Linked DNA regions of Callithrix jacchus. The protein of the gene in region 1 interacts with the protein of each later gene in a biochemical or structural test. Links are inferred from orthologs where the notes say so. Each region holds a gene or a part of one and is shown in the gene's direction. Other genes may lie near its edges. The genes, in order: FKBP8 and EGLN1.

The links.
Region 2: the proteins of FKBP8 (region 1) and EGLN1 form a complex in vitro, tested with the Homo sapiens proteins (2 studies listed by BioGRID, with this or other methods). The link is inferred for Callithrix jacchus from reciprocal best matches to the Homo sapiens genes FKBP8 and EGLN1.

Annotation. Positions count from the first base shown.
Region 1 is NC_133523.1:17,247,988-17,264,160, reverse strand, and holds the start of FKBP8 (peptidyl-prolyl cis-trans isomerase FKBP8), read left to right. Parts: upstream 1-5,414; 5' UTR 5,415-5,596; coding exon 5,597-5,670; intron 5,671-5,922; exon of another isoform or gene 5,923-6,103; intron 6,104-6,999; coding exon 7,000-7,316; intron 7,317-12,159; exon of another isoform or gene 12,160-12,221; intron 12,222-12,853; coding exon 12,854-13,023; intron 13,024-13,114; coding exon 13,115-13,203; intron 13,204-13,805; coding exon 13,806-14,026; intron 14,027-14,491; coding exon 14,492-14,664; intron 14,665-16,173. UniProt on the Homo sapiens protein: Constitutively inactive PPiase, which becomes active when bound to calmodulin and calcium. Seems to act as a chaperone for BCL2, targets it to the mitochondria and modulates its phosphorylation state.
Region 2 is NC_133520.1:53,455,640-53,471,782, forward strand, and holds the start of EGLN1 (egl nine homolog 1), read left to right. Parts: upstream 1-8,958; 5' UTR 8,959-9,369; coding exon 9,370-10,260; intron 10,261-16,143. UniProt on the Homo sapiens protein: Cellular oxygen sensor that catalyzes, under normoxic conditions, the post-translational formation of 4-hydroxyproline in hypoxia-inducible factor (HIF) alpha proteins.

The DNA of each region.
Region 1 (16,173 bases):
CCTCGGCCTCCTAAAGTGCTGGGATTACAGGCGTGAACCACCACACCCAGCCCACTAATATTTTATTATTATTTGTAGAGGTGGAGTTTCACTGTGTTGCCCAGGTTGGTCTCAAACTCTGAGCCTCAAGGGATTCTTCTGCCTCAGCCTCGCACAGTGTGAGGATTACAAGTGTGAGCCACCACTCCAGCCTTCATTTTGCACATAGTACTGGTCATAGTTGCAATTTAAATACCTACCTGCGTCATTGTTTGGTTAATATCCAGCTCCCCTGGCTGGACTAGAAGCTCAGTGGGGGCCGGGTGCAGTGACTCACATCTGTAATCCCAGCACTTTGGGAGGCTGAGGCGGGCAGATCACGAGGTCAGGAGTTCGAGACCAGGCTCGCCAACATGGTGAAACCCTGTCTCTACGAAAAATACAAAAATTAGCCAGGTGTGGTGGTGGTTGACTGTAATCGCAGCTATTTAGGAGACAGAGGCAGGGGAATCACTTGAATCTGGGAGGCGGAGTTTGCAGTAAGCTGAAACCGACCTGGGCAACAGAGCAAGACTGCACCTCAAAAAATAAAAATAAAATAAAATAAAATGAAGATAAAGAGAGTCTTATCAATCCTGACGAAGGCAATAAAGGAGAAAGGAGGATGGAGCAGGTAAGAAAGAGAAAAACCACCTCAGAAGGCAGATTTATGTCTAGGCATGTCCGTCATCACGTTAGATACCAATAGACCAAACGCCCCAGTTAAAAAAGAAAGATGGAGCCGGGAGTGGTGACTCATGCCTGTAATTCCAGCACTTTGCGAGGCTACGGTGAGAGGACAGCTTGAGCCCAGGAGTTCAAGAACAGCCTGAGCAACATCGCAAGACTCCATCTCTACAAACAATAAAAATTTAAAAAGTAGCTGGGTATGGTGGTACACAGCAGTAGTCGAAGCTACTGGGGAGGCTGACCTGGGAGGATTGTTTGAGCTTGGGTGGTTGAGGCGGCAGTGAGTCACCGCACTCAACTGCATGTACCACTGCACTCCAGCCTGGGCCACACAGCTAGACCCCATGTCAGAAAGAAAGAAAGAAAACACGGCTGGGTGAGGTGGCTCACGCCTGCAATCCCCACACTTTGAGAGGCCAAGACAGGTGGATCACCTGAGGTCAGTAGTTCGAGACCAGCCTGGCCAACATGGTGAAATTCCCCTTCTCTACTAAAAATACAAAAATTAGCCAGGTGTGGTGGTAGGTGCCTGTGGTCCCAGCTACTCAGAAGGCTGAGGCAGGAGAATCGTTTGAACCCAAGAGGCAGAGGCTATAGTGAGCAAGACTCCATCTCAAAAACTTTAAAAGAAAGTTTTGGGCTGGGCGCGGTGCTCACACCTGTAATCCCAGCACTCTGGGAGGCCGAGGCGGGTGGATCATGAGGTCAAGAGATCGAGACCATCCTGGTCAACATGGTGAAACCCCGTCTCTACTAAAAATACAAAAAATTAGCTGGGCACGGTGGTGCGTGCCTGTAATCCCAGCTACTCAGGAGGCTGAGGCAGGAGAATTGCCTGAACCCAGGAGGCGGAGGTTGCGGTGAGCCGAGATCGCGCCATTGCACTCCAGCCTGGGTAACGAGAGCGAAAACTCCGTCTCAAAAAAAAAAAAAAAAGAAAGTTTCAGTTCACCAAGAAGACACAACAACTGCAACACTTCATGCAGCCAATGATGTGGCCTCCAAGTAGAGTATTTGTTGTTGTTTTTGAGATTGAGTCTTGCTTTGTCCTCCAGGCTGGAGTGCAGTGGTGCCATCTCGGCTCACCGCAACCTCCGCCTCCCGGGTTCAGGCAATTCTTCCGCCTCAGCCTCCCAAGTAGCTGGGACTACAGGCGCCCGCCACCACATCTGGCTGATCTTTGTATTTTTAGTAGAGATGGGCCATGTTGGCCAGGCTGGTCTCCAACTCCTGACCTCAGGTGATCCGCCCACTTGGCCTCCCAAAGTGCTGGGATTACAAGTGCGAGCCCCTGCGCCTGGCCGAGTATTTGTTTTATAAGGGAAGAGTAAATATAGGTAAAATGTTTGCCTGCAAATACCTGTTCAATGAGTGCTAGCCATTATTATTATTGTCGGTGGTATTATTTTGTAGTTTATTTTAGTAGCTCATTGTTTATTTATAATAGTAATTCTTCTTCTTTTTTTTTTTTTTTTTTTTGAGACGGAGTTTCACTCTTGTTACCCAGGCTGGAGTGCAATGGTGCGATCTCGTCTCACCACAACCTCCGCCTCCGGGGTTCAGGCAAATCTCCTGCCTCCGCCTCCCAAGCAGCTGGGACTACAGGCATGCACCACCATGCCCAGCTAATTTTTTGTATTTTTAGTAGAGACGGGGTTTCACCATGTTGACCAGGATGGTATCGATCTCTTGACCTCGTGATCCACACGCCTCGGCCTCCCAAAGTGCTGGGATTACAGGCTTGAGCCACCGCACCTGGCCTGGTAATTACTATTCTTATTTTAGAAACAGTGTCTTGCCTTGTTGCTCAGGATGCAGTTCAGATCCTGGATCATAACTTACTGTGGCCTTGACCTCCTGGGTAAGGGATGCCTCACACCTCAGCCTCCCATTTAGCTGGAATTACATTTTTAAATTTTCTGTAGAGGCTGAGCATGGTGGCTCCTGCCTGTAATTCCAGCACTTTGGGAGGCTGAGGCGGGCAGATCACGAGGTCAGGAGTTCAAAACCAGCCTAACATGATAAAACCCCGTCTCTACAAAAAATACAAAAGAAAATTAGCTGGGCATGGTGTTGTACACCTGTAATCCCAGCTACTCAGGAGGCTGAGGAAGGAGAATTGCTTGAACCTGGAAGGCAGAGGTTGCAGTGAGCCCAGAGAGCTTCACTGCACTCTATGTGAAAGCCAGAGGGAGACCATATCTTCAAATAAGTAAGTAAATATTCTGTAGAGGAAGGCTCTCACTTTGTCACCCAGGCTGGAGAGCAGTGGCGTGACCTTGGCTCACCACAACCTCCACCTGCTGGGTTCAAGTAATTTTCCTGCCTCAGCCTCCCGAGTAGCTGGGACTACAGGTACACACCATCACGCCAGGCTAATTTTTGCATTTTTAATAGAGATGAGGTTTTGCCACGTTGGCCAGGCTCGTCTTGAATTGACCTCAGGTGATCCACCCACTTTGGCCTCCCAGAGTACTGGGATTACAGGTGTGGGCCACTGTGCCCAGCCCCCTAGGTGATTTCTTTCTTTCTTTTTTTGAGATGGAGTTTCGCTCTTGTTACCCAGGCTGGAGTGCAATGGCGCGATCTCGTCTCACCGCAACCTCCACCTTCTGGGTTCAAGCAATTCTCCTGCCTCAGCCTCCTGAGTAGCTGGGACTACAGGCATGCGCCACCATGCCCAGCTAATTTTTTTGTATTTTTAGTAGAGACGGGGTTTCACCACATTGACCAGGATGGTCTCGGTCTCTTGACCTCGTGATCCACCCGCCTCAGCCTCCCAAAGTGCTGGGATTACAGGTGTGAGCCACCGCGCCTGGCCCTAGGTGATTTCTTACATAGCTCTGCTGTGTTACCACCTTTTCTGGTCGTCTAGCCTCCCTTCCTTCCTTCCTCAGTGACTTCCCTGAGACTCCACTGCTACCTTTTGTGCCAGGCACTGTGCAAGCCTCAGAGCAAAGCGTTCCCAGGCTTTAGGGCTCTTCCAGTGTAGCGGGCAAGGCAGAGGTCGGCAAGGCAGAGGTCAGCAAGGCAGTGGCTCACACCTGTAATCCCAACACTTTAGAGGACTGCTCGAGCTCAGGAGTTTTAGACCAGTCTGGGAAACATAGGGAAACCCCATCTCTACAAAAAATATAAATATTAGCTGTACATGATGGTGCACCTGTTGTCCCAGCTTCTCAGAAGGCTGAGGCAGGAGGATCGCTTGAGCCCAGGAGGTTGAGCTGAGATTGAGTGATCTGAGATTGTGCCACTGCACTTCAGCCTGGGTTTCAAAGTAAGGCCCTGTCAAAAAAAAAAAAAAGAAAAGAAAAGAAAAAAAAAAGTCAGTGATACAGGTAAACTAGTTTGGGAGGCCAAGGGGGATGGATCATGAGGTCAGGAGTGCGAGACCATCCTGGCCAACATGGTGAAACCCTGCCTCTAAAAATACAAAAACTAGCTGTGTGTGGTGGTGTGCACCTGTAGTCCCAGCTACTCGGGAGGCTGAGGCAGGAGAATTGCTTGAACCCGGGAAGCAGAGGTTGCAGTGAGCTGAGATTGCACCACTGCACTCCAGCCTGGTGACAGCGAGACTCTGTCTCAAAATAAATAAATAAAAATAAATAAACTAGTTATGAAGTGGAGGTTCATCGACTTCATTTTGCCAAGACAGCCAAATGAGGCCCCTGGTCTTGCCTTGGAGAGGTCTGGGAGGGCTTCCTGTAGGAGGCCACCTAGGAACTCCAATCTGAGAGGTTATCTCCAAAAAGCTGGTTACCACCTCCATGATAGGTACCTCCCAAAGCCAGTGTCTGACTCATTCATTCATCCATCCATCCATCCACCCACCCATCCATTCATCCATCCATTTATTGAGCTATAGATGCCAGGCATGGTTCAGGGAGGTGCTAGGTACAAAACAAGCAAAAATCTCTGTCAGATGGAGTAGAGTGGGAGGTGCCCCCTCCAAACACAGGCAAAAAAAGCGACAAGATAATTCTGGATGGGACTAACTGCTAGAAAGGAAAAAAAACTGAGTGAAGGTGGGAGAAGTGCCCCGGTTTCAAAACAAGATCTACAAAAACTTAGCTAATCAAAGGTGCTGCCTTCTCCCTGGGCTGTGGGCATCTTATCATCCTTCAGCAGAGTGCGTGGGGGATGAACTCTTCCCAGTGGCCCTGCGGGCTCAGTCGCCTGCCCTGCCGTAATTAAGCGCCTCCTGTATGCACCACACAACCTTCTGGACATTAAACTGGGTGGGGGATGGGAGGGAGGTTTCTGTATGCCCTCGGGCACGTCACTCCCCCTCAGAACCTCAGGTCCTCTTCTGTAACTAGGGCTTCAGGATGGGTCATCAGTAACCCCAGAGCTGCCCTAACGGAACTCTTTAAGGAAATAGCATTTAGTGCTGTCCCCCAACAGCCCCCAAGGTGAGAGTGCATAGATGGGGGTGTTTATCCCCATTTCGCAGATGATCAGGATGAAGCTCAGAGGAGAGCGGGGAGTCGCACATGCTGCACGACTCTGACTCGTGCTGAGGTCCAGCCCGGGGTTTCCTGCCCCCGCCCAAAGCGGCCCGGAGGCTCGGGTCCCTTTAAGAACGTCCCGCGGAGCCAAGCAGGAAGGGGGAGGTGCCAACGCCCGGGACGGATGTCTGCACGAGCCAATGGGCGCGGCAGTCGCGGCAACGGCAGCCAATGGGCATGGCAGGGGCGGGGCCGAGCGGCTGAACCTGGTTCCCGAGGCGCGGCGGCCGCGGCTGGGGGCGGGGAGGGGGGCGCAGGACCCCAGGCGGGGGTCCCGGAGCCAGAGGCAAGTGTCCTGCGGCGCCGGGGGCGCCTTGTCGGCTGGGGCGCTGCCCTGGCCTGGGCTGGTCCGGGGGCCAGCGCGCAGCGGGCTGCGGCCGATGGGCGGGGCGAGGCGCCGCGGGGGCGGCGAGCCTGGGGGCACACGGGGGTCGCGGGTGCCCGAGGGGGCAAGGCAGGCCTGGGGTGTCCGTTATAGGGGTCATGGCGGCGAAGGGAAATCCCATGGGGGTTTCCCTACGCAGGCGTGCAGGGCCAGGGGCGCCCGAGGCGTGCGGGGGTCGGGTGCCCCAGACTGGTGGCGTCAGACAGGCGTGGGGCGTTGGGGGCCTGGGTCGGCGCTTGAAGCAGGGCCCGGCCGGGCTGTGGGGCGTCAGGAGGGCGTGGGGTGTTATGGGATCGAGAAGGGGGGGCGTCTGGGGACACTAGAGTGTTTACGGAGCGACGGAGCGGCTGTGGGGAGAGCTGACCCGGGCTGGGGGCGGTGGTAGTTGGGGCGGGGGTGGGGGGTGGGAGGGGAGGCCGAATTGTGCGGGCGCGGGGGATTATGGGGGTGGGGGCTGGGAGGGTCTCAGAAAGTGGGGCCCGCGCCCGGGAGGAGCAGGCAGGTGAGGGGTGAGGAGGGGATGCTGTGGGCTGGTTTGATGGCTGTGCTACTCTTCTGAGCTTGGGGCCTGAGGGCCAGAGGGTTAGGTTGTTGGTTCAGGAGGCCTGGGGCAAGGAAGAGGCTGTAGAACGAGGTGGGACCTCGACCACTCCTGGAAAGGAGGCTGCTTTGAGGGGATAGGACCGAGGCCTGTGAAGGGGAGGATGCATTCGTCCTAGGGGAGGGTTTGGACCAGGGCCCCTGATGTTGGGGTTGTGGGGATAGTTTTAGATTGAGAGCGTAAAAGGAAAAATAATCAGGGTTTCTGGGTGATTACTGTTGGTGGTCTTGGGAAATGTCTCTTGTTTGGAGAAGAGGCTGGAGGTGGGAGGCCCTAGTAAAAGGTTCAATTCCCTCAGTGGCCCCAGAGGCTCTAAAAATGGCTTCCCTAAGTCCTCAAAAGCTGTCCTCTCCACAAAAATCCCAGCACCCCTGACTTAGCATATAATCAGGCAAAGCCACAGGGCCTGAAGCCCCAGGTTCAAATCTTCCCTTGGCCATTGGCTTTCTCTGTGACCTTGGGTAAATGGCTTTGCCCCTGTGGCCTGTTTCCTGTTCAGTAAAATGTTGACGGGAATGTTCCCTACTTCCTGGAGTATTTGTAAACGTTAAATAATAATTAGCTCTAATAATGGCTAACACTGTTTGAGCCTGATGCCAAAGGCTTGATGCCTGGGTTAATTTCTCCCAACAAGCTGGGGTGGTTGTTCTACCCACTGTACAGGTGAGGAAACTGAGGCTGGGAGTCCCTGAGTTACACAGAAAGTGATTGGCAGTGTGGGAAATGGGTACAGTGGGGACTTTGAGGGACTGTGTAGGAGTCTTACCCACATCTCTGCCCCCCCCCACCACTTCCAGGGCCAGTTCCCGTCCCCCCAGCAGCATGGCGTCCTGTGCTGAACCCTCTGAGCCCTCTGCCCCGCCACCTGCGGGGGTCCCACCGCTTGAGGACTTTGAGGTGCTGGATGGGGTTGAGGATGCTGAGGGGGAGGAGGAAGAGGAGGAGGAAGAGGAGGAGGAAGATGACCTGAGTGAGCTGCCACCGCTGGAGGACATGGGACAGCCCCTGGCGGAGGAAGCTGAGCAGCCTGGGGCCCTGGCCCGAGAGTTCCTGGCTGCCATGGAGCCCGAGCCTGCCCCGGCCCCAGCCCCGGAAGAGTGGCTGGACATTCTGGGTAAGGAGCAAGGGTGGATTGGGGTGACCTTGGCCCTGGCCCTCTCGTCCCCTGAGCCCCATTTCCTCATCTGTGCTGTGAGGGTTGGAAGTCATGTGGTCACCACCATGATCGCCAGCCAGAGGCAACTACTGGAGATGCTTCATGGTGATGTACCTCATTCATTGACTCACACAGGTGCACAACATACCGTGTCCCTGTTTCCCAGATCTGCCAACTGTGGCTCAGAGAGGCTGAGTCACCTGCCCAGAGCCACACAGCCAGCACACCAGGCGCTGGCAGCTCCTAACCCTATTACTGCATCTTTTTTTGGTGTTTGTGTGACACAGGCTTGTACTCTGAAAAATGTGTCCTAGGCCAGGTATGGTGGCTCACGCCTATAATCCCAGCACTTTGGGAGGCCGAGGCAGGTAGATCACAAGGTCAAGAGATCGAGACTATCCTGGTCAACATGGTGAAACCCCGTCTCTACTAAAGACACAAAAAATGAGCTGGGCACGGTGGTGCGTGCCTGTACTCCCAACTACTTAGGAGGCTGAGGCAGAAGAATCGCTTGAACCTGGGAGGTGGATGTAGCGGTGAGCTGAGATCGTGCCATTGCACTCCAGCCTGGGCAACAAGAGCGAAACTCCATCTCAAAAAAAAAAATAAAATGTGTCCTGGGTGCTTGCCAGTCTGTGCAACACAGCAAGACCCCACCTCCAAAAACAAAATTGTGTCCTGGGGTCAAGTAGATCAGCCTTCTGGTGGGTTCACAGTACTCCTAATATTGTAAATGCTCAGAGAAATCCTACAGGAAGAAAACTAGGGGAACTCACACATGTTCTGCCTAGCATACCCCATCACAGCAACTGAAAACAAGGGAAATGTTAGTATTCTGTGGAAGTCGTCTCGCCGGTGGTATAGTACACCAAATAACGCTGGTGCCTATGCAAATAAGATGTCATTACCACTATTAATTGTACAAAAAATACCGTAGCAATACCATCCAATCACACTGACACTGATGAAACAGTAATATTACTAAATATCACTACCGCTACTGATAAAAATCGTACTACTACTTTTTTTTTTTTGAGATGGAGTTTTGCTGTCACTCAGGCTGGAAGCTGTGGTACGATGTCAGCTCACTGTAACCTCTGCCTTCCAGGTTTAAGTGATTCTCCTGCCTCAGCTTCTCAAGTAGCTGGGATTACTGGCTCCCACCACTGAACCTGGCTCATTTTTTTTGTTTATTTTTATTTTTTTTTGAGATGGAATCTTATTCTGTGTCCAGGCTGGAGTGCAGTGGCACAATCTAGGCTCACTACAACTTCCACCTCCCAGGTTCCAGCAATTCTTCTGCCTCAGCCTCCCAACTGCCTGGGATTTCAGGTGTGTACCACCATGCCCAGCTCATTTTTGTATTTTTAGTAGAGATGGAGTTTCACCATGTTGGCCAGGATGGGCTTGATCTCTTGACCTCGTCATCTGCCCGCCTCAGCCTCCGAGGTGGGATTATAGGCGAGAGCCACTATGCCTGGACTGTTTTTCTGCATTTTTAGCAGAGATGGGGTTTCACCATGTTGGCCAGGTTGGTTTTGAACTCCTGACCTGAAGTGATCCACCCCCTTTGGCCTCCCAAAGTGCTGGGATTACAGGTGTGAGCCACCATGCCTGGCCAAAAATCTTATTACTTCTGAAAATAGCACGACTGCCATTGCTCTCCAGCCTGGCTGACAGAGCAAGACTTTCCTAAAAAAATAAAAATAACACCAGGTAATATTTCCTGAGCACTGATTTTTGTGCCAGGCCTATATATCATTTCATTTCATCCTTGCAACAACACTGTGGACCGGGCACCGTGGCTCACACCTGTAATCCCAGCTCTTTTGGAGGCTGAGGCAGCGGATCACCTGAAGTTGGGAATTGGAGGCCAACATGGTGAAACCCCGTCTCTGCTAAAAATGTAAAACTTAGCTGTGGGTGGTGACACCTGTAGCCCAGCTACTTGGGAGGCTGAGGCAGGAGAATCGCTTGAACTCAGGAGGCGGGGGTTGCAATGAACTGGTTGTGCCATTGCACTTCAGCCTGGGTGACAGCAAGCAAACAAAAGCAACAAACAGGCAGGGCATGGGTGTCTCATGCCTGTAATCCCAGCACTTTGGGAGGCCGAGGCAGGTGGATTGCTTGAGGTCAGGAGTTCGAGACCAGCCTGGCCAACATGGTGAAACCCCGTCTCTAAAAAAAAAAACACACACACACACACACACACAGAAAAACAAATAAACAAACAAAACCACCGTGTTGTAATTTCTACTATATCCCCACTTTACAGATGGCAAAGGGTAGGCTCAGAGAGGCGAAGGTGCTTGCCCGAGGTCACACAGCCTCCCTGGCCATGTTAGCGATTGGCAAGCTGTTCTTTCCTCCTGATACTGTAAGAGCTGAGCTGCCCACACCCACTGGGAGCATGAGGTTGGCACTGTGTTTATAATTGTGCCAGCCGTTTTTTGAGGTCAGAATGGGGGCTTCTGTTTCTCAGGCAAGGAAACTGAACTCTTTTTTTCTTTGGGGGGGGTGGAGTCTCGCTCTGTCACCTAGGCTGGAGTGCAGTGGCACAATCTTGGCTCACTGCAGCCTCGGCCTCCTGGGTTCATGCAATTCTCCTGCCTCAGCCTCCCGAGTAGCTGGGACTACAGGCATGCGCCTCCGTGCCCGGCTAATTTTTGTATCTTTAGTAGATACACGATTTCACCATGTTGGTCAGACTGGTCTCAAACTCCTGACCTCAAGTGATCCATTCGCCTTGGCTGGGATTACAGGTGTAAGCCACTATGCCTAGCTGGAAACTGAACTCTTGAGAGGAGACATGATTTTCCCAGAGGCCATCTGATTGAGAGGCAGCCATTAGTGCCTGCAAACCTCGAGACACAGGTCCATTGGGATCCCCTAACTTGGTGGTTTCCAGATGAGTTAAGGGACTTGTACAAGGTGGGAGTAGCACAGAAATTTGGAATATTCTAGAATATTCCAGAACATAAGTGGATGATATACCCCTGCCGCTAACCTTTAGGCCAGAGTTCACTCAGACTCATGAAATACTCTAGGCCAGGCCATGAGTGGTAGCTCATGCCTATAACCCTAGCACTTTGGGAGGTGGGTGGATCCCCTGAGGTCAGGAGTTCAAGACCAGCCTGGCCAACATGGCAAAACCCTGTCTCTACTAAAAATACAATAAAATATAGGCATGGTGGTGCACACCTATAATCCCAGCTACTTGGGAGGCTGAGGCAGGAAAATCGCTTGAACCCAGGAGGTGGAGATTGCAATGAACCAAGATTGTGCCATTGCACTGCAGCCTGGGCAACAAGAATGAAACTCTGTGTCAAAAAAAAAAAAAAAAGAAAGAAATACTCTAGGCCAGTGGTGTATTACAGAACTCAGGTAAACGTGGGAACAGGAGGGACGGCAGAGCACCTCAGACCCACGTAGCCCTTGCTTTGCTAAGATAGTGTTTTGTGGACACCTTGGTAGCACTGCAAAGAAGGGCAGGGCTGTGTGTCCCCGGCCGGGTTATCTACCCCCTGCACCTCCATTTCCTGCTTTGACGGGGTGGTGCTGGCAGCAGTCACTCCAGTGCTTTTCTGGGACGATGGGGGGATCGTCACTGTGGGGTTATCTGGGCGTGTTTGTGAGGGTATTGGCTATGGTCATTCCTGTGATTGCTGGGGGCACGAGAGGCAGCCTTTGTTTATAAGCTGTTCAGCTCTGTTTGACTTTATTTTTTGTTTGTTTGTTTTTTAAGATGGGGTTTCACCATGATGGCCAGGCTGGTCTTGGACTCCTGACATCAGGTGATCCACCCACCTCGGCCTCCCAAAGTGCTAAGATTACGGGTGTCAGCCACTGCACCTGGCTATTTTTTTTTTTTGAGACAGTCTCGCTCTGTCACCCAGGCTGGAGTGTAGTGGCACAATCTCAGCTGACTGCAACCTCTGCCTCCCAGGTTCGAGTAATTGTCTGCCTCATCCTCCCGATTAGCTGGGATTAAAAGTGCCCACCACCATGCCCAGCTAATTTATTTATAAATTTATTTATTATTTTATTTTTTTAGAGACAGGGTCTCCCTCTGTTGCCCAGGCTGGAGCATAGTGGCTATTCACAGGCATGATCCCACTACTGATCAGCACGGGATTTTTGACCTGCTCCGTTTCCTACCTGGGCCAGTTCGTCCCTCCTTCTGGTGGTCCCCAACTTTTTGTATTTTTAGTAGAGACAAGGTTTCACCATCTTGACCACGGTGGTGTTGAACTCCTGACCTCAGGTGATCTGCCTGCCATGGCCTCCCAAAGTGCTGGAATTACAGGTGTGAGCCACTGTGCCCAGCCCTCAATTTTCTTTAAAAAAAAAAAAGGCCAGGCGAGGTGGCTCATGCCTATAATCCCAGCACTTTGGGAGGCCGAGGCAGGTAGATCACAAGGTCAAGAGATCGAGACCATCCTGGTCAACATGGTGAAACCCCGTCTCTACTAAAAATACAGAAATTAGCTGGGCATGGTGGTGCGCACCTGTAGTCCCAGCTACTCAGGAGGCTGAGGCAGGAGAATTGCTTGAACCCAGGAGAGGGAGGTTGCAGTGAGCCGAGATCGTGCCATTGCTGTCCAGTCTGGATAACAACAGTGAAACTCCGTCTCAAAAAAAAAAAAGAAAACTGGGCACAGTGGCTCCCGCTTGTAATCCCAGCACGTTGGGAGGCCAAGGTGGGTGGATCACAAGATCAGGAGTTCGAGACCAAGCCTGGTCAACATAGTGAAACCCCATCTCTTTTTATTTATTTATGTATTTTCTTGGAAATTCTTTTGGGGGCTTTGCGGCCAAAACTGGAAAGCCTGCTAGACAAATTCTAAAAGAGCTGTAACACTAACCCCGTCTCTTAAAAAAAAAAAAAAAAAAAAAAGCCAGACCAACCATTGTTCGCTGTCTTGGTCCCTGGCACCAGCACGGTCACCCCGAAGTGTGTCCCATCCTGTTCAGTGTCCCACACATGAAGTCCCTGACTCTGGTGGCAGAGTGGCTGTTGGAGGTTTGGTTTGTGCCCCGGTGTTGGGCCAGAAACAGAGGTTCCTATCCACTCTCTGTGCCAGAAACTTGCAGCTCCAGATAGCATCAGACTCAGAACATTCTAGAATATCCCAGAAAATGGGTGGGTCTCCAACTGCCCCTAATCTAGGGCCTGTTGCAGATTCATGGTCTATCCCAGACCAGTGGAGTGTTGTAGAATGCAGATGGATGTGGGGACAGGGGTGACCGCACACAGGGCCAGTCCACTCCCCGTGGGTTAGGCCCTCGCTTGTTTAAGGCACCGCGTTGTAGATTCTTTGGGAGAGCCCCAGGAAAGCACAGCCTTTGGTCCAAGGTTAAAGTTGGGGAAACCGAGGCCAGAGAAGCCTGCATTCCCCTGGGACAGCCAGTGGGCAGAGCTCAGGGTGGGGCTCGGGAGCGGGTGCCTGTTTGAGCTGCCCGGTGACAAGCTGCATGTCCCTGGCCCCTGGCAGGAAATGGGCTGTTGAGGAAGAAGACGCTGGTCCCAGGGCCACCAGGTTCGAGCCACCCAGTCAAGGGCCAGGTGGTCACCGTGCATCTGCAGACGTCGCTGGAGAACGGCACGCGGGTGCAGGAGGAGCCGGAGCTGGTGTTCACCCTGGGTGACTGCGACGTCATCCAGGTGCGGGCTGGGGCGGGACAGGGCAGGGGCAAGGGGCGCACCTTGCTGGGCCTGGGCCTGCCTGACCGCTGGCTGTCCCCACACCCCCCAGGCCCTGGATCTCAGTGTCCCACTCATGGATGTGGGGGAGACGGCCATGGTTACTGCTGACTCCAAGTACTGCTACGGCCCACAAGGCAGGTGAGAGCCGGCCACCCTTAGGGTCTCAGCAGGGGATGGGTAGAGTGGGTGTACCCCTCAGCCTACCCTGTCTACCTGCCCATTTTATAGAAGGAGAAACAGGCTGGGTGAGGTGGCTCACACCTGAAATCCCAGCACTTTGGGAAGTTGAGGTAGGATTGCTTGAGGCCCGCTTTTCCAGACTAGCCTAAGCAATATAGACCCCATCTCCATACAAAAAAATTTAAAAATTACTTGGGTGTAGTGCTAAAAATTAGCTGGGTGTGGTGCATGCCTGTAGTCCCAGCTACTGAGGAGGCTCAGGCAGGAGGATCACTTGAGCCCAGGATTTCAAGGCTGCAGTGAGCCAAGACTGTGCCACCGTACTCCAGCCTGGGCAAGACAGTGAGACCCTTCCCTTTAAAAAGAGGAAAGCAGAGGCTTAGGGAGGGGAACTCACTCATCAGGTCCCATCGCTCCAAGGCGGCAAGTCACTTATGCTGCACTTTACTGAGGAGGGAGTGACAGAGGGCGGAGGATGATAGATCTGGGACTTGAGCCAACCCAGCAGGTTTGGGGATCACCAGGTCTGAGTGCAGCCCTGCCTGCCCCCACCCCACTAGCAGGAGCCCATACATCCCCCCGCACGCGGCCCTGTGCCTGGAGGTGACCCTGAAGACAGCTGTGGATGGGCCTGACCTGGAGATGCTAACGGGGCAGGAGCGCGTGGCCCTGGCCAACCGGAAGCGGGAGTGCGGCAACGCCCACTACCAGCGGGCAGACTTCGTCCTGGCCGCCAACTCCTACGATCTCGCCATCAAGGCCATCACCTCCAGCGCCAAAGGTGACTGTCCGCCGGGTCAGATCCCCACCACCTCCCCTGCAAAGGTGTCCACTCTCCATTGCCAGAAGCTTTAGCCCCAGAGATCCTCAGACTCAGAACATTCTAGAATATCCCCGAGTATGGGTAGATCCCCAACTGACCCTAAACTAGGGGCCTGTTGCTGACTCGTGTTCTATCCCAGTCCAGTGGAGTGTTATAGAATGCAGGTAGATGTGGGGACAGGGGTGACCGCACACAGGACCAGTCCACACACCCCATGGGTCAGGCCCTTGCTTGCTTAAGGCTCCATGTTGTAGATTCCTCGGAGAGCGCCAGGAAAGCACTGACCTTGGTTTCGGGTTAAAGTTGGGGAAACTGAGGCCAGAGAGGCCTGCATTCCCCTGGGGTAGAAGGCAGCTTCCAAGGGGGGTCCGGGGGTCTGTTCATGTGGTGACAGCCACCGTGGCGGACACTGTCTCCCAACAGTGGACATGACATTCGAGGAGGAGGCACAGCTCCTGCAGTTGAAGGTGAAGTGTCTGAACAACCTGGCGGCCTCGCAGCTGAAGCTGGACCACTACCGTGCGGCCCTGCGCTCCTGCAGCCTCGTACTGGAGCACCAGCCGGACAACATCAAGGCTCTCTTCCGCAAGGGCAAGGTGGGCCATGCCAGGGTGCCAGGATGGGTCACCCAGCCCAGGACAGAGGGGCTGGTCCCCAACCCTGCATTTGAGGAAGGCACAGGGGTGCAGGAGTGTGGTCTAGGGCATAGCATTTATTGGCCGAAGCTAGATTCAGTCCTCGACTCTTGGGTTCCCCACCTTTGCTCCAGTGTGCAATTTTTGTTTGTTTGTTTGTTTTTTAAGAGAGTCTCGCTGTGTCTCCCTGGCTGGAGTGCAGTGGCGCGATCTCAGCTCACTGCAACCTCCGCCTCTGCTTCTCAGGTTCAAGCAATTCTCCTGCCTCAGCCTCTCGAGTAGCTGGGACTATAGGCGTTTGCCACTATGCCCCCAGCTAATTTTTGTTTGTTTTTTTCTTTTTCTTTTTTTTTTCTCTTCTTTTCTCTCTCTCTCTCTCTCTCTGTTTTAAGGCCAGTCCTACAGCATGAGAATTTTTGTATTTTTAGTTGAGACGGGGTTTTATCATGTTGGCCAGGCTGGTCTTGAACTCCTGACCTGAAGTAATCGATCCGCCTCGGCCTCCCCATGTGCTGGGATTGTACACATGAGCCACTGTGCCTGGCTTGGCCCAGTGTTGAAAGCTCCTCACATGGTCCCATTTTTTCCTCAGAGTAAAAGCAGAATCCTAGTCCCAGCCCTTGGGGCCTTGAGTCCTCTGGTCTTCTTCCTCCTGCTGTCGCCTCTCCCACCTCACTTTCTGCTTCTCTACTCCCACCCACCCTTCTCCCTTTCTGCTGTCTAGGCCAAGCACTCTTCACCTCAGGGCCTTTGCGTAGGCAGTGACGACTGCCTGAGACGTTCCTAACAGGCAGCCCGTGGAGGTGACATGCCTCTCGTCCATCTCCCCCACTTGAAGGTGGGGATTTGGTCTGTCTTGCTCACTCTTGAATCTCCAGCCTTGCAAATAGCCAGGTACATAGTATGTACTCCGTAAAAGTCCTCATGGCTCATGCCTGTGATCCCAGCACTTTGGGAGGCCAAGGCAGGAGGATCGCTTGAGCCCAGATATTTGTGACAAGCCCAGGCAACATAGGAAGACCCCTGTCTCCACCAAAAAAAATGAAAACATTAGCTGGGTGTGGGGGCAAGCACCTGTAGTCCCAGCTGCTCTGGAGGTTGAGGATGGCTTGAGCCCCAGAGGGCCAGGCTGCAGTGAGCCTTGATCACACCACTGTGCTCCAGCCTCAGCATCAGAGCAAGGCTCTGTGTCAAAAACAAAAGAACAGAAAAAACATCCTGGCAGAACATAGGGGTGAATCTGGCTTGCACAGACTTGACCTTTGTTCTCACCCCCTTTTCTGTTCATCCTCATAGTCCCATCCCTAGTGGGGCTTTCAGTACCTTTTAGCAGTTCACCAAGGAAACTGAGGCACAGACACTGGCTCACCTCCTGTGTTTGCGAAAAGCCTGAGGCGGGGCTCCCTCCAGCTGGGGTTTATGAATCACCTGTTGTGTGCAGAGTTCTGCAGAGAGGTATGAAGAGGGAGA
Region 2 (16,143 bases), on another chromosome or scaffold:
AAAACAACAACAGCAGCAGCAATAAAAACAACAAAGAAAAAAAGAAAAGAAAAGAAGAGGGCCACTGTCCTTCAGACCCATGGAGGAGTCGCAGGCACTCAATGCCAGCCTGGAAAAAGTCCTAGGGGTTGTACCCTACAGAACTGTTATGTGCACTCTGAATGAAGAGACCACCTAAACGGGCTCTGTGTATGCAACAAGGCTGTTTATTCACTCAGGTGAAAGCAGGCTGAGTCTGAAAACAGAGTCAGCAGAGGGTGGTGGGTTAGGGGCTGGTTTTATAGATTTGGTGTAGACAGTGGAAAGTTACAGTTCAGGGTGGTTTTTGCAAGCCGGGGGGTTGTCACAGGGTCCAGTGTCACAAGGTTGGCTTATCAGTTGAGGCAGGAACAGTGGCAGAATGTTGCAAGGTTGATTAATCAGGCATCTCAGGAGTTAGCTATTCTTCTTTTGTGGTTTTCCTGTTATCTTAGACTTTCCCGCTCTGAGAGCCATCTGGAGGTGTACATGCAGGTCACAGGGGTCACCACGGCTTGATGGCTTGATATGGTGTAGTCCATGATGCAGTCAGTGCAAAGGACCTTGCAAGATCCACAGGAGCAGAGCTGCCTAAGGACTTGGGAGCCAACCCCTTGCATCAGTGTGCCCTGGATGTAAGACATGGAGTCAAAGGAGATTATTTTGGAGTTTTAAGATTTAATGAGTGCCCTGCTGGGTTTTGGACTTGCGTGGTGCCTGTGGAGCCCCTTTCTTTTGGCCAGTTTCTATCATTTGGAACAGGAATATTTACCCAATACGTGTACCCACATTGTGTCTTGGCAGTAACTACTTGCTTTTGATTTTACAGGCTCAGAGGCAGAAGGGACTTGCTTTGTCTCAGACTTTGGACTTGGACTTTTGAGTTAATGCTGGAATGAGTTAAGACTTTGGGGGACTGTTGGGAAGCCATTATGAGTTTTGAAATGTGAAAAGGACGTGAGACTTGGAAGAAGCCAGGAGTGGAATGATATGGTTTGCCCCTTTGTGCCCCCGGCAAATCTCATCTTGAATTGTAATCCTCATGTGTTGAGGGAGGCACCTGGTGGGAGGTGACTGAACTATGGGTACAGTTTCCCCATGCTGTTCTTGTGATAGTGATGAGTTCTCACAAAATCTGATGGTTTACAAGTGTTTGGCAATTCCTCCCACTGTCATGTAAGATGTGCCTTGCTTCCCCTCATCTTCCACCATGATTGTAAGTTTCCTGAGGCCTCCCTAACCATATGAAACTTTTGAGTCAATTAAACCTCTTTTGTTTATAAGTTGCCCAGTCTCAGGTAGTTTATTTCTTTTCCTTTTCTTTCTTTCTTTTTGAGATAGAGTCTCACTCTGTTGCCCAGGCTGGAGTGCAATGGCATGATCTTGGCTCACTGCAACCTCCACCTCCCAGGTTCAAGCAATTCTTCTGCCTCAGCCTCCCAAGTAGCTGGGATAACAGGCACCCACCACCATGCCCAGCTAATTTTTGTATTTTTAGTATAGAGATAGGGTTTCACCATGTTGGCCAGGATGGTCTCCAACTCCTGACCTCAGGTGACCTGCCCTCCTCAGCCTCCCAAAGTGGGTAGTTTCTTTATAGCAGTGTGAAAATGGACACAGAGAAAATTAGATGACTCTAAAACACCGTATTTTGACCATCCATTCTTAATAGGATATTTATGTAGACAAAAAAAGTGATAAAATATTAAACTACATTCAGTAATTAAACTACATTCAGTAATTAATCTTAGTAATTATGTAAAAGCCATTAGGAAACAAAATTTTTAGTACAAGTTGAGCATCTGTAATCTGGAAATTCAAAACATGAAATGCTCCAAAATCTGGAACTTTTTTTTCTTTGAGATGGAGTTTTACTCTTGTCGTCCAGGCTGGAGTGTATGGTACGATCTCAGCTCACCGCAACCTCCGCCTCCTGGGTCCAAGCGATCCTCCTGCCTCAGCCTCCTGATTAGCTAGGATTACAGGTGCATGTGACCATGCCCAGCTAATTTTTGTATTTTTAGAGGAGACAGGGTTTCACCATGTTGGTCAGGCTGGTCTTGAACTCCTGACCTCAGGTGATCTGCCTGCCTCGGCCTCCCAAAGTGCTGGGATTACAGGTGTGAGCCACCACACCTGGCCAAAAATCTGGCCTTTTTTAGGCCAATGTGACACCTCAAGTAGCATATTCTACATCTAACCTCATATGATGTGTTGTAGTCAAAACACAGGCAAAACAGTTTCATGTGCAAAATTATTGAAAATATTGTATAAAATTACCTTCAGGTTTTGTGTATAAGGTATATGTTAAGCATGCTCTAATGAAGAGACCATGTAAATAGGCTTTGTGTAAGCAACAAGTCTGTTTATTCACTCGGGTGCAAGCAGGCTGAGTCCAAAGAGATAATCAGCAGAGGGTGGTGGGATAGCAACCGGTTTTATAGGTTTGGGGTAGGCAGTGGAAAGTTACAGTTCAGGGTAGTTTTTGCAAGCCCAGGGGGTAGGGGTGGTGGTGTCACGGGGTCCAGTGTCACAAGGTTGGCTTATCAGTTGAGGCAGAAACGATGGCAGAATGTCGCAACCTTGCTTAATCAGGAACTGCAGGAGCTAGCTATCCTTCTTTTGCAGTTTTCCTGTTGCCTCAGACTTTCTGGCTCTGGGAAGTCATCTGAAGGTGTACATGCAGGTCACAGGGGTCACCATGGCTTAACTATGTTGTAGTCCATGGTGTAGTCAGTTCAAAGGACTTTACATTGTATATAAAACATAAATGAATTTTGTGTTTAGATTTGGGTCACATTCCCAAGATATCACTTTATGTATGTACAAATATTCCAAAATCTGAAAATATCTGAAACATATCTGGTCCAAAGCATTTTGGATAAAGGCTGCTCAACCTAAGAAACAGAATCAACAAATATAAAATCGAAGAAATTAAAACCCTGTAATCTTACATTTGAATTGGAAATATCCGTATGAATTCAAGATTTTTTCTCTTGAAAAATTGTCGATTTCCCAGCTCTATTAGAAGGATTCAGAAGTAATGACAACCTAGTGGCAATGAGTACACTTGATTATGGTTTCTGCCATTTCCTACTTAAAGGAACCAAGCTCTTTGGAGGAATGACTGATTCCATGTCAAGGGCAGGAAATGTACAAGATAAGTTTGGGCCATTTTGTGCCAGCAAGCAAGAAAACTATCAAAGATTAATGTGACCACGTCCACAATACATAGGAACCAATTCTATTTCTCACTGGCCAAAGGTGGGACAATTTGAGCATCAAAAAGAATAATTAATGCACTTCAAATATATAAAAATACATATATTCATGATAATTTTTTTGAGAGACTCATTAGAAGTTGCCAGGGCACTAACTCATTATTTTGAAAATTGATAAATAAAAAGAAACAGATGTGGACCCTATCTTTCATCTACAAACTGTATTTCAGGATAACCACAGAGTTAATGAAAAAAGTTATGGTAGAATTCCAGCTAATAAATTGAGGAGGAATGTTAGAATTAGAAATTCATTATTTTGCACTGGGTGAGGTGGCTCATGCCTGTAATCCCAGCACTTTGGGAGGTTGAGGCAGGTGGATCACCTGAGGTCGGGAGTTCGAGACCAGCTTGACCAACATGGAGAAACCCCATCTCCACTAAAAATACAATATTAGCCAGGCAAGGTGGAGCATGCCTGTAATCCCAGCTACTTGGGAGGCTGAGGCAGGAGAATCGCTTGAACCCAGGAGGCGGAGGTTGTGGTGAGCTGAGATCATGCCACTGCACTCCAGCCTGGGCACCAAGAGCAAAACTCTTTCTCAAAAAAAAAAAAAAAAAAAAAAAAAAAAAAAAAAAAAAAAAAAAGAAAGAAAGAAATTCATTATTTTGCAACCGCTAATGAAATACTGGATTGAGTCACAATTAATGGATGCTAAAATAATCAGGTGATGGTGGATGAAAAACATAATGTAGGAATTGGGCTGACACCACCTGAACCCATGAGCAATATTTAATCATAAAACAAAACTATCAGACATATGTACCTCATGATGTGATGTAACAGGAAATATACAGCAACTACCATGAATTATGCTCACCTAAAATTTAGAACCTCAATCTAATAAAAATCCTAGATCTGCTGGGTGTGGTGGCCCATGCCTATAATCCCAGCACTTTGGGAGGCTGAGGCTGCTGGATCATGAGGTCAGGAGTTCGAGACCATCCTGGCTAACACGGTAAAACCCAGTCTCTACTAAAAATACAAAAAATTAGCCAGGTGGTGGGTGCCTGTAGTCCAAGCTACTTGGGAGCCTGAGGCAGGAGAATCCCTTAAACCTGGGAGGTGGAGGTTGCAGTGAGCCAAGATTGCGCCACTGTACTCTATCCTGGGCGACAGAGTGAGACTCCATCTCAAAAACAGAAAATAAATAAATAAAAAATAAAATTCTAGATTTGACTACCTATTTGCTGAAATAAGAGTAGTTTCACAAGGAAGTAATCAGCTAATTCTAGAATGTGGGACATTCGGTAGTACAAATGGCCTAGTTTCTACAGTAAATCTATGATATGAAGGGTGAGACGCTGGTAAAATTGAGTAGAAGGGCCTTAAGAAACATGACAATTTGTGATGATATTAGGTGAGGCGGCGGAGGTAGAGGAAACAACTAAGTTCAATGTATGAACCTTGTTTAGATCTTGAATTGGATAAAGCAACTGTAAACAGAATATTTGAGATAATAAAAAAAACTAACATTTGTGGATGATGTATAGTGTTGCGATTTTTCTTAATTTTGTGTAATAATGGCATGGTGGATATGATTTTTGAAAGTTCTTATCAGATGTGCGTATTGAAGTTGGGATATGCTTTATAATACTTTAGCAAAAAAGTGGGGGACATAGTACGGAGAGGGTAAGGAAGAATTGTCTATCAACATATGTTGATAATTGTTGAAGCTAATAACTGATGAACTTATTAGGGCTGAGGTTGATTACGCTATTATCTCTATTTTTGTGTATGTTGAAATTTTCCTACAAGAAAATGTTACAGGGAAAAAATTATTTAGCTTTCTTCAACCTGGGTTGGTGTAGTTACTGATTGTGACTATCCTAAAAGTTGGTTCAACATTAGGGTAATGTTTGTTAGAAAAAAAAAATTAGATCAACACATTATATAGTATCCCAGGTTTTAATAAAAAAATTTGCTATAATGAGAGATGATTATAAATATTTGTTGTATTTCTGAGATGATCAATTTTAACAGGATTGGTGGTAATTTTTAAGTCGTAAACTGATAAAGTTTGATGATTGATAAATCTCCCCAAATATATACAAAATCTATTTAATTGTTTCATTTTCATAAGGGAATAACCTTGGTGGAAAGTACAGCTGTCTCCATGTACTCGGAGAAGCACATTGCTCACGTGTGCATCTGGCAGAACCCCCAGTACAGAGATGAGCAGGTGCTGTTTTCCAATGACACCTAATTGTGTGTGTCCTAATACCATAGTTAGAAAATGGCTCACATTTTTGAGTTGCTTTTCCCAGAACTCAAAGATCGTTTTCCTGTTTATCTTGGTGGAATGCCTATGCTATACTTGTGATTTTACTTTTCTCTGTAACCTAGATTGTCACAGATGGAAGAAACAGGAGGTCATTAGTTAACAATCAGATGTTTGATTTCTTGAGCAGAAAAGATACTCTGTTGTGTTTTTAAAAACATTAAGGAGAAATAGGGCTACTCCTTGGAAGGTAGATTCTGGTCACTGGGCTTTCCTCAAAAGTCAACACAGTCGTTTCTAAATCCATTTCCTCCTTCAACTCTGTTCTTGTAGCTAACCTCAGCTTTGGCTCTTAGGTCAGCTTTGCCTCTTTTAGTTCTTGTCAGTTCACAGTGGCTTAAGTAAATACTGCCAGAAGAGCAAAGGGAAGCCAAATAGGTGGTCAATTAGCTTTGTCTAAGTTGGTTTGATATGGAGATGAAAGCACTCTTACTTTAATTCATTCTTCAGTTTCTGTAACAGTTGCTCTTGGTTAGATTGGGGGCAGGAAAAACATTTGTAATAATTTCTAGCTTTGAGAGACACAAGGCTTTGCTCGCCCCAGAGTATTAGTTAACCCACCTAGTGCTCCTAAACATATAATCTTAACGACTGGAAGGGACATTCATTGTCTCACTCTCTATTTGTTTCACCTTCTGTAAAATTGGCATAATAATAGTATCTACTTCATAGCATTACATGATGATTACATTATTTAATACTTGTAAAATGCTTAGAACACAGATTGGGCACACAATATTAAGCATCGCGTATGTTTATAAAATAAATTCCTCTGTGCTGCCTTCTGGTAACATTTAAATAAGTAAATAAATAAATTAAATATATTCTTCCATGACATTCTGAAGTCTGTCTATAAGAGCTGAGTAAGTGGCCACTGGTACAATGCTACCGGAGTTCCAGAATCTGGTTGGCGACAAGATTGTTCACCAGCAAATGGTGTGGTGAAACCTCACTAATTTGGAATTCGTTCAGATTATTAAGCCTGAATAGGTGGAAATCCTGAAATCAAGGATCTTTGGAACTATTTGAAATCAGTATTTTATATTTGTCCATTCTATTTTTAAAATATTGCAAGTGTTATACTTGATGGGTTAAGTATATTTAGGATATACATGTTTAATTTGTGATTTTGTATACTTAATTGGAACAAGAAAGCTTATAAAGGTTTTGATATAGACATCTATTCTTTTAAGTAAAATTCAGTTAAAATACATGAGAAGAGCATATAGAGATGTAAATAATTTTTGGACACACCATAGATTGAAATAGTGAATTTTAAAGAAATTGTTGTAAGAATCAAGTTTCATGGAATGAGTGTTCCTAGTAAAGTTCTTGCTCTTGTGAATAATTAATAATCACTTATAATTACTGTAGTAAAAGAAGGCCCAAGAGGTATTAGACTCTACTTTTATCTGTTATACTTTACATAATTTTTGTGTATGAAAAATGTTTTAAAAGTTTTTCGTAAGCCATGAGATAGCTGCTTTACATTTTAAGAATTTCTGAATTAATTTGCTTAGATTTTATTAGTGCAAACAGCAGAGCTAGATTCTTTCTAGATTCTAACATGAAATGTGTTTCTAAACTGCTGAATCAAAACATAGGTTCAACTCTCTGAGTTGAACACACACATAGCAAAGCAGTTTCACAGATAGCTTGCTTCTGGGTTTTAAAGCCAATTCCTTTTTCTGTGTTACCATTCCATCCTATTCATCCCTCTTTTAGGAAACTCCGAACTCTGGATTGTCCTTCTTTACATATCTGCCTCCTGCATTGGACTATGTGTCTCTGAGTGTAGTATGACTAATTCATTTGTTTGTCAAGGATAGTGTAGCACATGGTACACTCCCAATTCATCTGTTGAACAGCCTAATCAGTAATGTCTGCAACAATGACATTTTACTGTATTTAATAAAGCTCTGGGAAAGTAGGATACACATAAGACAGATCCAGGTCTTAATTCTTTACAGAAATGTGGATTTTTAGTTCGGTTTGGAATTTGAAGATGTGAGTATATTTACCTCAGTTTCCCAAATGACAAGCTGATTGAATTATTATCCTCTTCCACCTGACTGGATCCCCAGAATGCCATTTACGTATGTAGCAGACTTTTATAACAGTTTTAAATTATGTATATTTGATGAAGAGGTTTTATATTTTTGGATTCAAGCTTTATTTTTTTTAAATTCTACAATGTGGTTTATAGTAATTCCATACATCCTGCTTTTGAAATACATATTGCAGCTTCTTTAAGCTTGGAAGGCTATATCTCAAGGACTGAAGTTACAGTATATTCAAGTGATACACAAGCCTAGCACCGAATTTTCCACAGTAAGTGTTCGATAAAGACTGTTAAACTCTAAGTCACAGGCCTTTTTATTCTTAAGACAAATAACAGCAGAAACATCCTTGGCTTATTTATGGAAAGGTTTTTATGCTCTATAAAACAAAGAATTGTATCCATCAGCGTAGCACAGATTCTATTAAAAATAAATGTGAGAGTCGTTAATGTAGTAGTACTGCTCACTTACTACCAAAATTAACTTTTCAGGGATAATTCCATCAGTTTAAATTGGATATTGGAATAAGCACTCATTTGACTTGGTAGCCCAATCATGGGGGTTCGAACTCGGCGGGATTTCAAAGGTTTTAAAAATGTTTTTGATTTTAACCCTCAAATTTCATAACCTTTAAATTAGGTTGAAACGGGGCACAAGAGATTGGATTAACATCACAGTAATACTTATTTTTGTTCTTAACCATTTCACGGCTTCTTGAAATAGAGGCTGGATGGAGCAATGGAAAAAACAGCCTTGGAATCTGAGCGCCTGATTGCTGGATTCAGTCCCAGTCAGTTCTGCGTGACCTTGGGCAAGTTACTTTACTTCTCTGAATTTCCGTTTCCTCCTCTACAAAATGAGGATCACAGTAGCCACCTTGTAACCCTAACCCGAGCGCGCCTCGCACAACTCGCGCCCGCCTGCAGGAAGAGCAGCCATGATTACGCCGCCGCCGCCGCCGCTCCGCCACCCGCTCGCGGCCGGCGCCCTCCCCTAGCAGGTGTAGGCGCTGCCCGCGCGGCCCCACGCCTTTCCGCCGCTCGCGGGCCGGCCCCTCTGCGTCCCCGCGCAGGCCGCTGCGGGCTGAGGCAGCTCACCGGCCTCTGCGTCCCGGCCCCGCCCCGGGTGGACGGAGGGCGGGCGACCCGGCTCTGAGGCCGAGGTCCGGCCCCGCCAAGTGCGGAGGAGCGCAGGCGGCCCAGGCGCCGCGCCAGCGCCCAAGTGTGAGCGCGGCCCCCGCCCCTCGGCCCTCCCCCCGGCCCTCCCTCCGCCCCCTCCGCCCTCGCGCGCCGCCCGCCCGGGTCGCCGCGGGGCCGTGGTGTACGTGCAGAGCGCGCAGAGCGAGTGGCGCCCGCATGCCCTGCGCTCCTCCACAGCCTGGGCCGGGCCGCCCGGGACGCTGAGGCGGCGACGGCGGCCGAGGGGGCCGGTCTTACGCTCCCCAGGCCCGCGCGCCCGAGCCCAGGTTGCCGTTCGCCGCACAGGCCACGTTTTCTCAGCCCACGGCGGCGATGAGGCGCTAAGGCGGCCACCGGCTCTGCGCCGGAGCCTAGGACTCGGAAGCGGCCGGGCCGAGGGCGCGGGGTGCCGGCCTCCCTGAGGCGAGGGTAGCGGGTGCATGGCGCAGTAACGGCCCCGATTTCTCTCCCCGCTCCCCAGCCTCGGGCGAGGCCGTCCGGCCGCCACCCCTCCTGCTCGGGCGCAGCCGCCGCCGTTGCCGCCGCCGCCGCCATGGCCAATGACAGCGGCGGACCCGGCGGGCCGAGCCCGAGCGAGCGAGACCGGCAGTACTGCGAGCTATGCGGGAAGATGGAGAACCTGCTGCGCTGCAGCCGCTGCCGCAGCTCCTTCTACTGCTGCAAGGAGCACCAGCGTCAGGACTGGAAGAAGCACAAGCTCGTGTGCCAGGGCAGCGAGGGCGCCCTCGGCCACGGAGTGGGCCCGCACCAGCACTCCGGCCCCGCGCCGCCGGCTGCAGCGCCGCCGCCCAGGTCCGGGGCCCGGGAGGCCAGGAAGGCAGCGGCGCGCCGGGACAGCGCCTCCGGGGACGCGGCCAAGGCAAAGGCAAAGGCCAAGCCCGCGGCCGACCCCGCGGCGGCCGCGTCCCCGTCTCGCGCGGCCCCCGGCGGCCAGGCCTCGGCGGTGGCAGCGGAGGCCGAGCCCGGGAAGGAGGAGCAGCCGGCCCGCTCGTCGCTGTTCCAGGAGAAGGCGAACCTGTACCCCCCGAGCAACACGCCCGGGGATGCGCTGAGCCACAGCGGCGGCCTGCGGCCCAACGGGCAGACGAAGCCCCTGCCGGCGCTGAAACTGGCGCTCGAGTACATCGTGCCCTGCATGAACAAGCACGGCATCTGTGTGGTGGACGACTTCCTCGGCAAGGAGACCGGACAGCAGATCGGCGACGAGGTGCGCGCCCTGCACGACACCGGGAAGTTCACGGACGGGCAGCTAGTCAGCCAGAAGAGTGATTCGTCCAAGGACATCCGAGGCGATAAGATCACCTGGATCGAGGGCAAGGAGCCCGGCTGCGAAACCATTGGGCTGCTCATGAGCAGCATGGACGACCTGATCCGCCACTGTAACGGGAAGCTGGGCAGCTACAAAATCAATGGCCGGACGAAAGTAAGTGTGGGCTGCGGGTTTGCGCTGGACATGCCCTTCTCGGCGGGCAGCCCCTCTCGTGACGGTAACTGCCTAGGCTGAGGAGCAGCCTTCCTCTGTATAGAAAGGACTTTGTGTATAGCACCCCGTAAGGAAGACGGACAGAATTCGGGGTAACTGTTTGATCTGGTTAGCCGCTTTGTGTCCGCTGTTTTCCACTTACTGCCAGTCCACAGACTTCTCCGGCTAATTGCATAGTTTTCTGGCTAAACGTAGGCGCTTTAACTTTGCTACTTTCTTCTTTTCTTCCATTCCACTGTTAGTCACAATTCATTCCTTAGTGGCGTTTTAGCCACCCAGTGAGGGGGTGTTAGAGTACCACCCAAAGCAAGTCCTGATGCTGCATCTGTCTTGTGTTTGCATAAGCACTTAAATTTCCTGTGCTGTCTGAATCACTCGTCACATTTTGATTGAGAGTCAAACGCTGTGTTCAGTTAAGAATTTGCCGGCTGACCACAAAAAGGTAAATTTAAGCGTTTAGTCGAAAGACTCTCCATATTCAGGAAGAGCGTGGCTACTCCCCTCCCCCTCTTATAGCTCCTACCCTCTCCCTGTTCCTACTGTTTTGAAACCCATTACAAAAAGGGAAAAGAAGTATTTCCGTTTTCGGATCTCTCTGTGTAGGTAGGCTACATTTTTAGCATTGGTTTCCTTTATTTGCTTTGTTAATGTTATCCTTCTGTTGAAAAAGAACTGTTTTGTAGCTTCCTGGAAAAAACAACACGAAATTGGAGCAGGAGGACTTGTTTTATCCTCCCAATTTGGTGAGATCTTTTTGTTTTCTCTTTACTGTTGCGTTTTTTTCTCCACAGATTTCTTCACTTCCTACCTAGTCTATTTTCTCTTTTTCTCCCTCACGGTGCACTCTTTCTTCCTTAATACTCTCTTGCAGGTCTTATTCATTTTGCTTCTCAGATCTTGATCTTTTCTTTATATCCAGCTACTCCCAGGCCTCCCTCCTCCACCATCAGTCTCTGTCTGATTTTGTGAGTTTTGAGAGATGGACTTGGGAGAGCATCACACTTACATGTTTGTACACACATGCTGACTCTTCCCAGTGGTTTTTTTGGAGTGTGTGTGAGACCATCTGTTTTGACAGTCATTACATGTGATTCTCAGGCTGCTCGGAAGGCTGAACATAGGCAATGAGAAAAATTATAAACATGAAAATTTTGTGGGGAAAAATACAATGTGGAGTCTCATTTACGTATTGCCACTTCATTGCTGGGTGAAGGCACACATCTTAATTTCATGTAGTCTTACGAACAGTTGAATCATATTAAACTGGAAGGAAAAGGGGGATCTGATGAAATCTCAGCCTTGGTCTTTTACTAGCTTTTCATTGATACTTTTAAAAATGAACGTTGTCATGGAACACATCTGAACATAAGTCCTGAGCTCAGAGCAGGAAAGAAATTAGTTTGAGGGAACAGGGCTGTGAAGACTGACCAAAGTATATAGTTGGGACATAAGTTTAAATTGGATTCTTGAAGATGATGTCCCAAATCTTTCTTGATCTGCTTTCCTTAGTTAATTTAGCTTTCCAAGTCCTTTCACCTGTCATTCTTAGATAAGGGACAGCAGACAGCCTGGCTCTGAGAGCAGTTGCTTCTGGTAGGGATGCTATTAGAAAATAGCTACTGCCTTCCTCAAGAGTTCTAGTATTTGGGGTTTTAAGTCACCTAACTGTACCTAGTAACAGGTAATAAGGGACTGGATGAAGAAGGGATGGCCTTTAAACTCTTTGGATTTGATCTTATGCTTATATTAATTTTAGAGACACAACTTCAGGATCTATAAATGATATTCAGGAATTCCTTTAATTGTACTTCTTGGCTGAAAGAGGTTTTGGTAATTGTGTTTGAACATGTAAGTATTCCTGAAAAAACAAGGTTGTTTGCTTGGTGGAAATGAGAAGGCAATCAAAATACCACCCACTGTATATTGAGCAACCGCAGTGTGTTAGGCATCAGATTAGGGTCAATGCAGGTACAATCAGAGTAATTTTTTTTTTTTTTTTTTGAAGCAGGGGCTTCCTTTGTTGCCCAGGCTGGAGTACAAGGCTATAAGCATGGCCCACTGCAGCTTCCACTTCCTGGGCTCCAGCGATCCTACCACCTCAGCTTCGAAGTAGCTGGGACTGTAGGCACAGCTTGACTGTGCTGTGCTAGACCAAATGAAAAACATTTTTTTTGTAGGGTCAGGGTCTTGCTGATCATTTGATCTTGAACTCCTGGGCTCAGGTGATCCTCCTGCCTGGACCTCCCAAAGTGCTGTAGTTACAGACTTGAGCCACCTCTTGTGGCCACAATAATCTTTATGCAGTGGGTAGTGTTATTCGTAATTTACATTTGAGTGATTTTCAGCTCAGACTTGGCAGAGGTCTACCACTTATAGTAACCTAGCAGGTGTTCAGGCTTAAGTCATTCAGCTATCGAACTTAAGCTTTTTTTTTTTTTTTTTAACTACACTAGTTATAGGTAGAACATTAAATGAGATGTAGCTTACACACTGTTGGAACTGCAATTTGATATATATTTTTTGTTGAAAGGGGGTGAATAGTACTAGCTTTATATGTGAATAATCATACTCTATGGTTGGGCTCTAAAACTTTTTATTAGGTGACTGTGCAATGTTTATTTCAGATAGTGGCTGAAAAATCCACTTTTGTATATATCCACTTGAATTATGCACCTGTTGGTATAAGTGTTAAGAGATGTCAGAATATGGTTTTTGTATGTGATTGCAGAGGGAGACTTCAGTTTAGAATTTTATTATTCTTCGTAACATGATAGTGATTTTAAAAGTTCTGTGCAGCAGATGTGTAGTATTTTTCTCATGTCAGCTTTCAAAGCAGTAGGTAGGTGGTTGTATCTCTTTTTATAGATTAGAAAAGTGGGACTCAGGAAAGTTAGTTCACACGTTGGAAATTCTGCAGCATATTAGGCCTTAAATTCAGATTTTCTGACTAAGAATCTGATGTTCTTTTTTATTTACATCTATATTGCATGTTCTTTATGTCAGGGCCTGGAAATCAGATGATACATGATTGGCTGTGGCCCATTCAGTGTAGGCTTTGTTTTCCCCTGAATTTCTACTTCAGACATCCTTATCTGGCCACTGTTTATGCAACTACTTTAAAAAAAGGAACCACAGGGGAAAAATGAAGTAATACAGGAGAAAAACAAATGTAATTGTAGTCACTGATGTAACCAAGCTCCTGTTTCCACTTTCTCTGGTCTTTTTGGGATTTTCCCCTTTTTGCCCTTACCCTGCCCTTTGATCCTGTGTCTTGCTCATGCTTGTTTTCATTAAGAAGACTCAGTGATACCCAGTAGAAAGAAACCATGGTCTGCTGGTTTGTGATGAGCAGTGTGCCTTGACTTGGGGGGTATAGGATGAAGAGAAATTCAGAGGACTGAGGATCATGGGAAAGTGTTGAACTTTTCCGTTGGAGTATCCTAGGTACTCTGAAGGAAAACATTTTCCCATTAAAATAGAAGTGCTAAAATTGTATACATAACATTTTTGGAATTTAAACCAAAACTTCATCTGTTCCATTAAAACATATGTAAAGAAAAGGAGTAATAAAATAGGTTGGGACCAATAAGCAGCAGATTATATTACTAAGATTTTTCACTGTTACTGTAGTTAATTAGTTAGCTCTGGCTGATTATGGCTTTTAGAGCAAAGAATAGGATGAGGAAAATGCTGCTGCTTTATTATCACTAACAAAGGTGTGGTGACAATCCTCTTAGATGTTAAAAACAAAACTGACCTAGGAAGAGAGCCCTCACCAGTACCAGACCATACAGGCATCCTGATCTCAGACTTTCAGCCTCTAGAACTGTGAGAAAATGAACTTATGTTATTTAAACCTAAATAAATAAACCTTAATCTATTTCTGCCATTCTCTTTATATGCTTGGGATCCAGGATACACAAATGGAAGTTACTTGTTTAGTGATTTTTATAGCTATGTCAGAATTTAAGTACAAAGTAAGTTATTCTGTATGCAGAAAGACTGAAAATACTACAACTGCAGTAATTCTGCCAGCTATAAGGGACATGTGGACTGAGAGGGTAGTCTTAATAGGTTGTGATCAACTATGTGCGAAAACATTTTGTATAGTGAGTTGATGTGTAGTTTACATGTAAACTAACTCCTTTAGTTGTAAAGCAATTATATTTTACATTTAAAGATTTTTTTCAGGCTGGGCTCAGTGGCTCACACCTATAAATCCCATCATTTTGAGGGGCTGAGGCAGGAGGATTGCTTGAGCCCAGGAGTTCAAGACCAGTGTGGGCAAATGGTGAGACCTTGTTTCTAAAAAAAAAAAAAAAATTTGGCGTGTATGCCCATGGTCCCAGGTACACGGAAGGCTGGATGAAGTGGCTGGATTGCCTGAGCCCAGGTGATAGAATGAAACCCTGTCTCAAAAAAAAAAATTTTTTTATGGCATGTTTGCAACTCTTATCTACTATCTAATAATCCACAAAAATACCCACAATGCCTTAATTATGTGGAGAAGGAGAAGATAAGAGAGATCATCTTAACTTTGAAAGATAATGTATTCTGGGCTGCATGTGGTAACTCACTTCTATAATTCCCAACACTCTGGGAGGCTAAGGTGGGAAGATCGCTTGAGTCCAGAAATCCGAGACCTCATCATTGTTTAAAAAAACATTATTAAGAAAGAAAGTGGATTTGGTTCTGCCATTAAATCTGGGTTGGATCCTGAGTTTGCTATGGTTTCTGTCCTTATCCAGCTTCTTAATCTCTGAGTCCTTAGTTCCTCTGTTTATAAAATGGTGTGAAGTGATACCTGTCTTTTTAGCTTCTCGGGATTGTTGTGAGGTAAGCATATGATGTTTCATGTAAAGTACTTTTTAGATGGTAAAGTGCTTTGCAGAACTGTTCTTAACTATTACTCCTTCCATTTTAGAAATTTCTTGTCTTTCTGATTCTTTCTTTCAAGAGCTCTGTGCTTTCCCTGTCTCATCCCACTCCCATAAACTGGAGAAAAAAGGGCTTAGAATGATCATCCTTTTTTTTTTTTTTTTTTTTTAACCTAACCACTTTTCCTGCATTCACACCTATTTTTTTTTTTTTTTAAAGAGAAGAAATAACATTTTTTTAAGGGAAAAAATAAGTCCCAGAGAGGTGAAGTAACTTGTTCTAAGTCATAGAGCTGCTGACAAAATCAACAGACATTTGATTCAGTTCATTCATATCTGTAACTTTATGCTGTATTTCATGTAACAATGACATATTTCTACTTAGCTAATTTTGGTATATTTTATGCCTTTTTTTCTTTTTTTTGACAGGTTCTCACTTGCACCAGGCTGGAGTGCAGAGGTGCAGTCATGGCTCACTGCAGCCTCAAGCCCCTGGGCTCAAGTAGTCCTGCTTCAGCTGGGACTGCAGGCATGTGCCACCACACCAGTATAATTTCTTAAATTTTTTGCTTTAGAACTATTGGCCTCAAATAATCCTCCTGCCATGGTCTCCCAAAGTTCTGGCTCACGCCTATAATCCTAGCACTTTGGGAAGACAAGGTGGGAAGATTGCTTGAGCTCAGGAGTTCCAGACCAGGGAGCAACATGGTGAAACCCATCTCTAAAAAAAATTCAAAAATTAACCAGGTATGGTTAACCAGGTATGGTAGCACATGGCTATAGTTGCAGCTTCTTGAGGGACTGAGGAGGGAGAATCACTTGACCCTAGTAGGTGGAGGTTGCAGTGAGCTCTGATTACACCACTGCACTTCATCCAGCCTGGGTAACAGCAAGAAACTGTCTCAAAATCAAACAAACAAACAAAGCAAAGTGCTGGGATTACAGG